2 linked regions of the Mus musculus genome follow. The protein of the gene in region 1 purifies or fractionates together with the protein of each later gene. This does not show direct contact. Links are inferred from orthologs where the notes say so. Each region holds a gene or a part of one and is shown in the gene's direction. Other genes may lie near its edges.

Region 1 (2,398 bases):
CTCCACTTCTTCATGCCTGGCTTTGCCCCTCTCACCAGCCGTGGAAGCCAGCAGTACCGGGCCCTCACTGTGCCTGAACTTACCCAGCAGGTCTTCGATGCCAAGAACATGATGGCCGCCTGCGACCCGCGCCACGGCCGGTACCTCACAGTTGCCGCCGTCTTCCGTGGACGGATGTCCATGAAGGAGGTGGATGAGCAGATGCTCAACGTGCAGAACAAGAATAGCAGCTACTTCGTGGAATGGATCCCCAACAATGTCAAGACAGCTGTCTGTGACATCCCACCGCGTGGCCTCAAGATGGCAGTCACCTTCATTGGAAACAGCACAGCCATCCAGGAGCTCTTCAAGCGCATCTCTGAGCAGTTTACGGCTATGTTCCGCCGGAAGGCTTTCCTCCACTGGTATACGGGTGAGGGCATGGACGAGATGGAGTTCACCGAAGCTGAGAGCAACATGAACGACCTCGTCTCTGAGTACCAGCAGTACCAGGATGCCACCGCGGAAGAGGAAGAGGATTTCGGAGAGGAGGCAGAAGAGGAGGCCTAAGGCAGAGAGCCCTGCATCAGCTCAGGCTGCTTAGATCCCTCAGCTTTCTCCAACTGCCCTTTGTCCTCCAGTTTCTTTCTGCTGCCTCTGTCTTGTATTTGTTTTGTTCTGTTTTCTCATTGGGGGTAAATGGTGCCTGGCACATGGCAGGCACTCAATAAATATTTGTTTGTGGAATGTCTCCTTTCTCTTTCCACTCTGACAAACTTAGATTTCTGACATTCTGGTTGTTACCCTGTGCTTCCTACTGGTATCTTTTTTTTTTTTTTTTTTTTTTTTTTGGTTTTTCCAGACAGGGTTTCTCTGTATATATAGCCCAGGCTGTCCTGGAACTCAGAAATCCGCCTGCCTCTGCCTCCCAAGTGTTGGGATTAAAGGCGTGTGCCACTATCACCCAACAAGTATCCATTTTTTTAAATTATTATTTGACTGTCCAGTTAATATTCCAGAATATTCTCCAGAAACCTGAGGTCTGCTCCAGATCCTGTGTAGAACCCAGCCCAATTCTAAGAACTCGGATAGTAACCATCATCTTAAAGCAAAGTAGTGGATCAGGGATGCTAGGTAGAGACCACCAGGAAGAGAAGGGGGTGGGGTTTTCCAGTCAGGGCCATTTAGAATCCACCTATGCTTTCAGTCAGCAGGGCTTTGTTTTGTTTTTCTCCTGCCTCATCTCTCAGCCTCAGGAGAGGTATTAACAGTATTATCTCCATTTATATCCTCCCAGCTGTCCTGAGCCAAATCTGCCATTGGAAGTGTCTTCCCTGTATTGGTTCTCCTTTCTCGGAGAGATGGGGGTTGGGGGTGCGGCAAGGTCTTGGTCTTGGTCTCTGAACACTCCCAATTCCCGCTGAAACTCCACACTTGGGAAAGTATGTTTCCACCTGGGTCTTTCAGACACTGCCCAGATGGGCTGTCACCACCTCTGCCCCATGCTCCTCCTGCCCTTGGCTTGGTCATTTCCTACCTTTCTATTTCGTGTTGTACCTGCTTTTTTTTTTTTTTTCATATTGAAAAGTTGACATCGCCCCAGAGCCAAAAATAAATGGGAATTGGAAAAAGGCTGTGAGGCTGTGTGCTCATTCAGGGGTAGTTAAAGCTGCTGGTGGAGGAACCGGTCCCAGGTTGAATTATACTGTTCCCAAGTGTCTTAGTCAGGATTTTACCTATTACTGCACAAGCATCATGACCAAGATGCAGCTGGGGAGGAAAGGGTTTATTCAGCTTACATTTCCACACTGCTGTTCATCACCAAAGAAAGTCAGGACTGGAACTCAAGCATGGCAGGAAGCCAATGGAGCGATGTTTCTTACTGGCTTGCTTCCCCTGGCCTACTCAGCCTGCTCTCTAACAGATCCCAATACTACCAGCCCAGTGATGGTCCCACCCACAAGGGGCCCTTACCCCCTTGATCACTAATTGAGGAAATGTCTTACAGTTGGCATTTTCGCAACGGAAGCTCCTTTCTCTGATAACTCCAGCCTGTGTCAAGTTGACACAAAACTAGCCAGTACACCAAGGTTGTCCCTAATTAGGTGAGACTCCTACCCCTGCCTTTCTAATAGCTGAGATAGTACATGTGGCATGCCTAGCAGTTTCAGGGCTGGGGACCACTGAGTGACATCCCCAGCTCTCTAGGTATTTCGATTGGACAAACCTCTAATGCCAGCTTTCAATCGAAGATTGTGGGTCCAAAGCTGCCCACAATCTTGAAAATAGCACCTGACACCCCATCAGCAACCCTCCCAACACATTCCACATCCCTCTGGGGTTAACCTGTGACCTGTAGTCACACCATTCTAAGTTTGAGACTCAGGCTGGCTTTGAGTTCCTTGTTAACACTAGCTGA
Region 2 (4,586 bases), on another chromosome or scaffold:
CCCATTCCCCACACCTGGGAGTAAAACAAAACCATATTCCCATAAGACTTCTATGTTTTTTTAAAAAAAACAAAAAGTCTCAGTACAATTTTCCTTGTGGAGGAACCCACACACGCACACATGCACCCATGCATGCACAAACACGCATATGTGCACACATTCAAGAACACATATATGGTTACAATTAAATAGAACCCTAGCTCTGCCCGGTAGTGGTGGCGCATGCCTTTAATCCCAGCACTTGGGACGCAGAGGCAGGCGGGTTTCTGAGTTCGAGGCCAGCCTGGTCTACAGAGTGAGTTCCAGGACAGCCAGAAAGAAAGAGAGAAAAACCTACACAGAGAAAACCCCTGTCTCGGAAAAAGCAAAAACAAACAAAAAACAAAAAAAGAGAAACTAACTCTTTGGGCCAGTGAGAAATCTCACCAATTAAAAAAAAAAAAAAAAAAAAAAAAAAAAAAAAAAAAAAACTTGCTGAGAAAGTCTGATGCTAAATTCCCTGCCTGGAACCCACATAAAAGTGCGACAATCGGGGCTGGAGAGATGGCTCAGCGGTTAAGAGCACTGACTGCTCTTAACCTGAGTTCAAATCTCAGCAACCACACCGGTGGCTCACAACAACCTATAATGAGATCTGATGCCCTCTTCTAAGGGGTCTGAAGACAGCTACAGTGTACTTACATATAAATTAATCTTAAAAAAAAAGTGTGAGAATCAGCTCCACAAAGTTGTCCTCTGATCTCCAGTGGTATGTGCAGACACGCGCGCGCGCACACACACACACACACACACACACATACAGAGTTTACACACAACAATGATGATTGTTTTGAGACAGGGTCTCAGATGTGTAGCCCTTTCTGTCCTCAATATATATACAGACCAGGCTGCCCTCAAACTCACAGAGATCCACTTGTCTATGCCACCCAGGCATTGGAATTAAAGATATGTGCCAACACAACCAGCAAAGAAAAAAAAATTTTTTTTAAAGAACTCTTGTCAAAGTCATTTACTGAAGATAATCTGATTGTACAGCTAGTACATGCCAGCAGCCATGAGGCTAAGCACCAGGTGGGCTTCAGGTTTTTTATCGTTGTTTTTTGAGACAGGCTCTGCCCTGCCAGTTTTATCCTAACAGTTGGGATAGAGCGTCTCAACCTGATAGGGTCCTAGATAGCACTCAATCCTTTGTGCGGGTCTGGTCCCTGCATTGCGGGGAGCTTGGAACTCTAAACAACCCAAGGAGGCCATACTGTCCGCACATTTAGAAATGGCCCCTAGGGGGAGTCATCATCCTCAAGTGAACGCACAGAGCCATTTCCGACAGAGTCCCGGACCAGGACCAACGGTTTTCCGTCACTGGTAAATGAATGGAAGTCACAAGATGCACTGGTGGGAACCGTATTACAGTCCCCGGATGATTCGTCAGCTCTTTGTGGAACCAGATTCCGACTCCTAGCTCAGAATCTCTTCGCGGCTACTCCCTACCCAGACGAGATACTGCTCGAGAAAGTCAGCCTCTGTCTGGCATCCGACCGAGGCCTCGGAGTCGGAAGGCTTAGGGACTTCTCCCTTGTCCCCACCAACCCTCTGCCTTCCCGACAAGGGTTAACGCAGCAGGCTTCAAAGTCGCCGCAGCGCCTCTAGGGGGCGACGCCCTGCACTCCTGTGGTCACGTGACAACGAGGGCGGCCACAAGCGCCAGGCTGGCCAATAGGAGACGGGAGCGGGGTCCCGGGACTAGAAGAAACGGCGGCCGGGAGGGGGCTACGGGATCATGGGGCTTCTGACCATTCTGAAGAAGATGAAGCAGAAAGAGCGAGAGCTGCGGCTGCTCATGCTGTATCCTCCGAGCGCTAGAGCGGTCGCGAGGGTAGCGGGGCCCGCCGGGTGGGCGGAGCCGGGCGTGGGGGGGCGCGGCCGCCGTGGGTACCTATTGCCGGTGGTGCGTCACGCACGCGGCGCTACCACTGCTCGGCGCGGGGCCGGGGAGGGCCGTACCACTCTGCGGGGTGGGGGTTGGCGTGCAGAAGGCAGCCCGGTGGTCTCAAGGCCCGGCCTAGACTTGGGACTCCAGTATCACTGCGAGGCGCGACGCAGTGGTGGTGACTCGGACGTCACGCTGCCTCGGGCTGGCCCGAGCGTGGGCCCTGCTCCTCCCTGGCGCTGACCCCCTCCCCTTCATCTACGGGTGTAGGCCTTGGCGCTTCCCTTAGGGTCGGAATCCCAGGGTCTCGAGGACCGCCTAGGCTCCTGCGAGTAGGCGTGGACTCGGTTGGCCACAGGTCCCGCTGTCACTTAAGGCCACCAGCGACCTTTCACCGCATTAACTGGCACCTGCATCACCCGTCTTGCACTGTGCCGGGCCACCTAGGCATCTGCGATCCACAAAGTAGCAGAGGGAGAAAAGGAAATTTAATGTGCACGTAGAACTTTACCACTCGTGCGTGTTTTAGACAATTCTGAGAAAGACACTCATTAGATGACCTCCAAGCACCTATGTTAGGGAATTCGGTAAAACAGGGAAGCGAAAAAGGCTTCATTTCAGATATTCTGTGATGAAAGGGGAGAAAAAATTGATAAAGCAAGTAAGATATGTAGTGTAGGATGAGAAGAATAGAGTCCACAAGGAGGTAGAGAGAGCTGGGAAAACGTAAGCAGAGGACCTGCAAGTGCGAAGGCCCTGGAGGAGGATAAGACAGGCATGTTCAAGAAAGGTTGAGAAGGAAAGAGCTGGAGAGAGGGAGAGCCCATGGGCTGGGGCCATTTAGGCAGCTGGACTATGAAGGGAGCACAGGATGGTGGCTTAGACCATGGTGGTAGTAGGAGAGTATTATGACTTGCTGCTGAATGGGAGAAGACAATGAGGGAGATGTAGCCAAGCATGAACTGGTCTCTGGCCAGAGTGTTCAGAAGGACAAGGAGCCACTTGCTGAGATGAGAGACGCATGTCCCTGGGAAGACACCAACCCTGACTGTTGGGCAGGTAGGTAGCAGCCATCAGCCTAGAAACGATCATGGGATGGCCCAGCTGGGGAGTGCTGAGACCCAGGTGTAGACGCTTGTGTGAAGTCAGATGAGGGTAACAGGATGGGGTCTGGGAGAGGGCCAAGGAAAGAGCAGCAGCGCCCGGAGCAGAGCAGAAGCTGGGCCACCCGGCCAGTGGAGAGCAGTAAGGGGGTCTTCGGAGACCTACCTGGCAAAGTGAGGCTTCAGGAAGCATCAGGAGCCAGTCTGCTAACAGTAGACCTGTAGAAAGCAAGAGGCTAAGTAAAACTGGTGCAGTGGTGAAGAACCAGGGAACAGGGGTTCAGTGCCCAGTACCCACTTGGTGCTTCACAGCCTTGTGTAACTTCAGTCCTGAGGTCCTCGTGTAGGCAAAAACTCAAAATATTCTAAGCAAACAAAAAATGAGCATGGTATCGAACACCTCGAATGCCAGCGTTCAGAAGGTAAAGGCAGGTGAATCTACGGGCTTGAGTCCAACCCGGTCTACAGAGCAAGTTCCAGGCCGGCCAAGGCTACATAGACCTTGTCTCAAAAAAAAAAAAAACCAAAATGCAGGAAAAGTCCAACATGGTGTTACATGCCTGTAGTTCTGGCACTCAAGAGGCAGAGGCTGGAGAACTTTGACAAGTTTGAGGCCAGTTTGCGTTACATAGAGTTCCAGACAAAAAAAACAAAACAAAAGAAAACAAACAAACAAACAAAAACAATACAAGCCAAAAGATGGAAGTTGGTACAATGGAGTATAACACCTGTTCCCAGGATGCACCCCAGAGGAAGCTGTGGCCGACTCAGCAGATGGTGGGGGAGTGGGTGGAGACAGGTTCTGCTGCAGTAGTGCGCAGCACTCGAGGCGTGAGGCGAGAGTTTGGTGATGAGAGGAGAAGGGATGGAAGAGTGGATGTTGTTGGATTGACAAGACAATCTGCTGGCTTTCCAAGGTGAGAGTTGGGCTGCAGAAGGTGGAAGGTATTCACCCGTGCCTCTCAAAGGTGGGAGTCACAGAGCCAGAGTCAAGTGAGTAGGAAGAGGTCCTAAATGTAGAGCCTGTCCCTTCTCCCCTCCGCTCAGGCTTTGGCTGCCCCACAGTCTCACCTGCGGTTGAGCTCACCTATTGGCTTGTTCTCTGCAACGGAGGCTGTGGATCATTCCAGAGACAGATGAAGGTGGTTGCCACCTCTAGATACTTGCCCTTTACTTGGTCCTTCAGAAGGCTGGGCCCATCTGTTTTGGGCCTCAAGACCCCACAGAGCCTTGTCTGGTATCTTAAGTTGAAAGCCATTCCTTCCAGGAATGTCCTTCACTGGTTCCAAGTACCCAACCTTCTCTTCTGCTTTATTTAGTCTTTAATTTTTTTTTTTTAAAGATTTATTTATTTATTATATGTAAGTACACTGTAGCTGTCTTCAGACACTCCAGAAGAGGGCGTCAGATCTCCTTACGGATGGTTGTGAGCCACCATGTGGTTGCTGGGATTTGAACTCCGGACCTTCGGAAGAGCAGTCGGGTGCTCTTACCCACTGAGCCATCTCACCAGCCCTAGTCTTTAATTTTTTAACACTTATTTATGGATGTGAGAA

What was found.
Region 2: the proteins of Tubb5 (region 1) and Arl2 purify together in Homo sapiens (co-immunoprecipitation; 3 studies listed by BioGRID and IntAct, counting the BioPlex papers as one, with this or other methods). This does not show direct contact. The link is inferred for Mus musculus from reciprocal best matches to the Homo sapiens genes TUBB and ARL2.

The regions. Positions count from the first base shown.
Region 1 is NC_000083.6:35,833,133-35,835,530, reverse strand, and holds the end of Tubb5 (tubulin beta-5 chain), read left to right. Parts: coding exon 1-549; 3' UTR 550-1,611; downstream 1,612-2,398. UniProt on the Homo sapiens protein: Tubulin is the major constituent of microtubules, a cylinder consisting of laterally associated linear protofilaments composed of alpha- and beta-tubulin heterodimers.
Region 2 is NC_000085.6:6,138,293-6,142,878, reverse strand, and holds the start of Arl2 (ADP-ribosylation factor-like protein 2), read left to right. Parts: upstream 1-1,741; 5' UTR 1,742-1,777; coding exon 1,778-1,842; exon of another isoform or gene 1,843-3,249; intron 3,250-4,586. UniProt on the Homo sapiens protein: Small GTP-binding protein which cycles between an inactive GDP-bound and an active GTP-bound form, and the rate of cycling is regulated by guanine nucleotide exchange factors (GEF) and GTPase-activating proteins (GAP).